Linked DNA regions of Yarrowia lipolytica. The protein of the gene in region 2 binds, or shares a complex with, the protein of the main gene of each other region. Links are inferred from orthologs where the notes say so. Each region holds a gene or a part of one and is shown on either strand. Other genes may lie near its edges.

Evidence for each region. Proteins that work in one complex are often made in the same cells at the same time.
Region 1: YALI1_F10633g (region 2) and YALI1_E30725g share a complex: the UniProt entries of both Saccharomyces cerevisiae proteins name them as parts of the M-Pol II complex. The link is inferred for Yarrowia lipolytica from reciprocal best matches to the Saccharomyces cerevisiae genes HOC1 and MNN10.

What each region holds. Positions count from the first base shown.
Region 1 is NC_090774.1:3,071,559-3,074,095, forward strand, and holds YALI1_E30725g (uncharacterized protein), read left to right. Parts: upstream 1-971; coding exon 972-2,018; downstream 2,019-2,537. Other genes in the region: YALI1_E30743g (uncharacterized protein), read right to left, coding at 2,445-2,537. UniProt on the Saccharomyces cerevisiae protein: Required for polarized growth and efficient budding. The M-Pol II complex possesses alpha-1,6-mannosyltransferase activity and is probably involved in the elongation of the mannan backbone of N-linked glycans on cell wall and periplasmic proteins.
Region 2 is NC_090775.1:1,061,557-1,064,729, reverse strand, and holds YALI1_F10633g (uncharacterized protein), read left to right. Parts: upstream 1-1,408; coding exon 1,409-2,602; downstream 2,603-3,173. Other genes in the region: YALI1_F10652g (uncharacterized protein), read left to right, coding at 1-309; YALI1_F10616g (uncharacterized protein), read left to right, coding at 3,077-3,173. UniProt on the Saccharomyces cerevisiae protein: The M-Pol II complex possesses alpha-1,6-mannosyltransferase activity and is probably involved in the elongation of the mannan backbone of N-linked glycans on cell wall and periplasmic proteins.

The DNA of each region.
Region 1 (2,537 bases), on a different chromosome or scaffold from region 2:
ATACTCCTATCTTACCAAATTGCACAGTACACTGTACCCAGATCATCATTCTTTATTATATAATCAACATCTCTCCACTCATAACCTCACCCAGTCATCAGCTCGCACATACTCAGGACGATCCTTGCCTCGGAGCAGTGCTTGTAACTACAGTATGTACTCGTAGTGAAAAAGGTTGCCCCTGAAGATGGACAAGAGGATGCACAAGCGCACAAAGAAAAGTAGGGGTGGCACGTGTGAGTGGATGTGACTAAGCAGTTGTGAGGTGGTTACAGTCAAGCCTGGTTCGATGTGAAAGCTCACGTGCATCGTACCATTGCCTTGTCTACAACCTCTTCTCTACTGTAGCTACAAGTACTCGTTAAGCATGCCCACCAGCCGTGTACCCACTTTGAAGCCGTCAGTGGAGCTTAAAGATGAAAAGAAGTAACTGGTCCACATGAGCATATTTATCGTCGTGAATAACAATAGGTTGTAGTGATGGACGAGGTGGAGATGTGGGTTGGTATTGTGCAGCGATCACTCAATACTACTGGTACGGTTCTAGTCTTCATCTTCTATGGTCCTGCTCCTCGTACCTGTCCTTACATCGCTATCATCTCATTATCTCAGCGTCACCATGACGTATGTAGTATGCACACGGTTTTTGGGACGAAAAATTCTGTGACGTTGAACATGTAAGGCGCCAGATATACACGTAATACTGTACCAGATTGAGGAGCAAGAGAGAGCGGTAATTATTCTCACGGAAATGACTTACGTCGTCCACGTAGTATGTATGCTCTTCCAAGACATGTCCCAGGTTCACCAAGTCCATTAGCTACAAATACAGCGATGCTGGTCCAACTGAAATAAAGTACGCACGTCCACCACACGCATGTCTACCAAGCTACTGTACATTAACTCTCATCACCAAAAAGACAACATCAACACATACACTTCACCACGACAAACACAAAAACACACACACAATGAGCCAGAACTGGAGGCGCAAATCGTCCGTGTCGGCGTGGGACAAGCCCGAGGGCGGGTGGTCGCGACGGCAACGAGGAGGGATCATCGCCACGGTGGGAGGCTTCATCGAGGGTTTGGCTACGGCCCTGATACGGCGCAAAATCTTTGTCGTCATTTTTTTGCTGCTGACCCTGCTGTCCTTCTTCACAGCCGTGCCATTTGTGCCGCACTTCAACTGGGGCTCGGGCAAGTACGTGATTATCCTGGCTGCCAACGAGGGTGGAGGAGTCATGCACTGGAAGGGAGCCAAAGAGTGGGCCATCGAGCGAAGCAGCATTGAAAACAAGCGAGAATACGCCGAGCGCCACGGCTACCATCTTGCCGTCAAGGACGTGAGTCTCAAGAAGAGATACTCTCACGAGTGGAGAGAGTCGTGGCAGAAGGTCGACATCATCAAGGAGACCATGCGCCAGTTCCCCAACGCCGAGTGGTTCTGGTGGCTCGATCTGCATACGCTCATCATGGAGCCCCAGATCTCGCTGGATCAGCACATTTTCAACAACCTCTACAATGAGACCTACCGAGACCTAACTGGCCAATTCAACCCTTTGAACTTACCCGTGCAGATCCCCTACGTGGACTACAACCAGCCCGTCGACCTGATTGTCACCCAGGACTGCGGAGGCTTCAATCTGGGTTCCTTCTTCATTCGACGGTCCGACTGGACCGACAAGCTGCTCGATCTGTGGTGGGACCCTGTCTTCTATGAACAGAGGCACATGGAGTGGGAGCACAAGGAGCAGGACGCGCTGGAGTACCTGTTCACGAACCAGCCCTGGATCCGAGGACGGGTCGGCTTTCTGCCCCTCAGAAAAATCAACGGTCTGCCTCCCGGAGCTTGTTCCGAGATGGAGAATGACAAGCAGCTGTTCTACGACGAGAAGTCACGAGACTTCCTTGTCAACATGGCCGGCTGTGAATGGGGACGAGACTGCTGGAAGGAGATGGAGTCGTACAAGGCGAAGGCTGTCGAGCTGCATCGAAAGAAGTGGTGGTTGTTTTAGGCGATAAGCGAGCCTTTTTCAGCGAAGCGAGAAAGCGTACGAGAGGAACGAGCCACAGCAGAGCTATTAGATACATATTTGTATATATGGAGATAGTATTATAGAATCAAATATGATGTACAAGAGATGAATGTTGAGTGTGTAGAGCGAATATGTGGCTCACGTGTCTTCTAAATATCTGAGACATACAGAAACTACCCAGCCGTATCCAGTAGAATGGCTCGCTTTGTCCTGACCCTGTTTTGGTTGTAATACCGAACAGTGTACTCATGGTGAATAATGAAAATGCATGTATTTAGCTACCATTCCATCTATAAGCAGCCATGAGTGTGAAGTCTCTTAGCAAAGTCGACTACTGACCGCTCATTTTATGTACTTTAAAGCTCTTTTGAAGTTCCTTTCAAGGTCTGCTGGAACTCTTCATCTTCAACTCACCAAGTTGTTCTCCTCCTGATCCTTCTGGGTCGCCTGGACAGCGAGGATCTTCTTCTTGAGGTACTCGTTACGCTCCTCTCGAAG
Region 2 (3,173 bases):
ATCGACATGCTCATCACCCCGGTTCTGCCGGGAGCTGCCTTCAAGTTTGGAACTTGCAACTACTGGGGATACACAGCGTACTGGAATCTGGCGGATTACACTTCCGTGTCAGTCCCTTACTCGTCTGTCAAGGCTTCCGACAAGCCTGTGGAGGACTTCAAGCCCCGAAACAAGCTAGATGCCGAATGGCAGGCGTTGTATTCTCCCGAGACGTATGAAGGAGCTCCTCTTTCTATCCAGTTGATTGCTCCTCGAATGCAGGATGAGGTGGTTGTTGAGGCCTTAAAGTTGTTTTCCGATATCAATTAACGAATAGAACCAATACAGACAGTATATTAGTACAACAAAGCAACCAAGTAATGTGTAACCAATGACCGTTGAGCGTTATCTTACTCACTTTCAGTATGTCATAAGTTGGAACTTGCACAATATTGTCACAGTGAAATGATCCAAATCTATTCAAAGCTGAGATCACGTGACCACACAATGGGCACGTGACATTACCCCTTATTTTCTAGTTCCTTGTAGGCTGTACAAGTCAACAGTTGTTCCTACATGTATGATGCAGCACAGCCAGCTGGCGCGGCACAACTTTGTTGGCTGCGTCATACTCGTACAAGTACTGTAGCTCCGAGGTTGTTTTGGCAATAGAACGGCTGAATGGCTGAGTAATGATCTCCTTGTTTTTGGGTCTTTGGGATCTGTTTCGTTACATTGTAATGTTACAACAAGTTGTTATAGGTTGTATACGCACTGTAAGACACAGGTAATAGGACAGGCGAAATGAACGCTATTGGTTTAACTGTGTGATGCTGCTTAGTTTATGATGATGGACTTTGAATAATGTGATATTGTTTATACCGTTAGAATCTTCACAATTGGGGTATTTAATTGAACTATTTTTCCTGTCGCTATCACGTCTCTAGCACCCATTGATGTCGCCTTTTTATCGCTGTCACCTATAATATATGAAGAGGGTCTATTTTTGGGAGTTTTTATTCCTGTCGACTTTTTGCATCTGCGGACTTTCTTTTCTTATTTTTTTTTTTCTTAATTTTTTTTTTTTATGAACCGTTTTTTGCTCTCGGTGTGTGCCTTTATGTTTCTTTTGCGTGAGATGGGTGCAATACAACATTCGTAGGCGAGAGGTATAAGTAGTTACCAGTACATGTTGAAGTAGATTTAATGACAGAATGAATGCAACGAGGTGGCTACAACATCCTCAAAATATAAATAGCCATCCAATCCCTCTTATCGTGTTAATCTCTCGCATGTTACTTCATGTTAATTGTCTCGGAGAAGACGCACACACACACACACCACGCTACACACAAACTCGCGTAACTTTACACGTACATCAACTCTAGTGACATCGCACGTCGACACCCACTCGATACTTCGTCACACCATGGCTCTCATCACAGCTCGACGGGTGATTTTGCTGGGGCTCGCGGTCGCGACCGTGTGCTTCCTGTTTTTCGGGTCCAGTGAAAAAATTGCCCCCACGGTGCTACTGCCCGGCGATATGTCCGCTTTCGAAAACAAAATCTACAAGATGCGGGCGGAGACGGAAAAGGCGCTCAAGGAGCAGGAGGCAGCCGCGGCCAAGCGGTTCGATTCGTTCAACAAGAAGCTCAGCGAGCTGGAGACCGAAAACCGGGTGCTGGAGAAGGAGATCCAACGTCTTCGAACTCCTCCCCAGGGAGCGTCGCTCAGAGAAAAACTCGCATACACCTTCCCCTACGAGACGTACAAAAAGTTCCCTGCCTTCATCTGGCAGACGTGGAAGGACGAGATCACCGACGACACGCCCGACACGATCCGACAGCCGATCCGAACTTGGACGGAGAAGAACCCCAGCTTTGTCCACGAGGTGCTGACCGATGACGCAGCAGCAATGTTTGTACAGCACCTGTATGCTCAGATCCCTGAGGTGGTGGAGGCGTACAAGGCCATGCCTAAAAACATTCTGCGGGCCGACTTCTTCCGTTACCTGGTTCTGCTGGCTCGGGGAGGTGTCTACTCCGATGTCGACACTGAGGACCTCAAGCCCATCCCCAACTGGATCCCTGATGAGGTCTCCCCTTCCACTGTTGGTCTGATTGTCGGTATTGAGGCCGATCCCGACCGACCCGACTGGAAGGAGTGGTACGCTCGACGAATCCAGCTGTGCCAGTGGACAATCCAGGCCAAACCCGGTCACCCCGTTCTGCGAGACATTGTGGCCCGAATCGTGGAGAAGACGCTGGCCAAGAAGCGAAGTGGTACTCTGGAGATGGCTGGCGACAAGACCGATGGCAGCGAGATCATGGACTGGACCGGGCCCGGAGTGTGGACCGACTCTGTCTTCGACTACTTCAACGACCGAAAGAAGTCGGGACTCAAGTCGCAGGTCGGCATCAAGGACTTTTTCAACCTCAAGACCCCCAAGCACGTGTCGGACGTGTTGGTTCTGCCCGTGACGTCGTTCTCTCCCGGTGTCGACCAGTTTGGCGCCAAAGATACAGACGACCCGCTGGCCTTTGTCAAGCATCTGTTTTCCGGTTCATGGAAGCCCGAGGACGAGAGAATGAACCAGAACCAGCCGCAGGTCAATCAGTAGCTAGCATAATAGATTTGGGAAGAGTGAGAGAGATTCGAGGGCAAAGGTCCGAGAGTCTCCAATCAACAGTAGGAGGAGAGGCGAGCCTGTGTTCCGACCGTGGGAACTTACAGAACTGTGCAAGATCAAGCCTCGATCAACTCAGTAATTCTTGCCCGGCATTGCGACTTACACATACAGTACATACAAGTATACAGAGTTCTTCCATATTACTTGAGAACAGAGATACAGCTAAAAGCGAGTCTCGAGAGTGTTGTAAATTTCTATTGGTGGATGAAGGGTCTCATTTGGTACGAAAGGATGGTCTTTGATATTCATATTGCTACCTTTTATACAGTAGCTATTTGAAAGAGTAAAAAATGGCGTATATCAGGAGGATGTGAATTAATCTGAATTGTTTGGTTTTCTCACGATTTAACCTCCATTATTTCATACAAATGCGATAGATTTAATAGGAGCTTTCCGACCTCAACAATGTGTTATTGTGGCAAATTGCTTCTCTCAGTTGACTCTCATTCAGTTGACTCTCATTCCGGCTTGCCCTCTAGAAGCCTTCCCTACATCTCTCGCC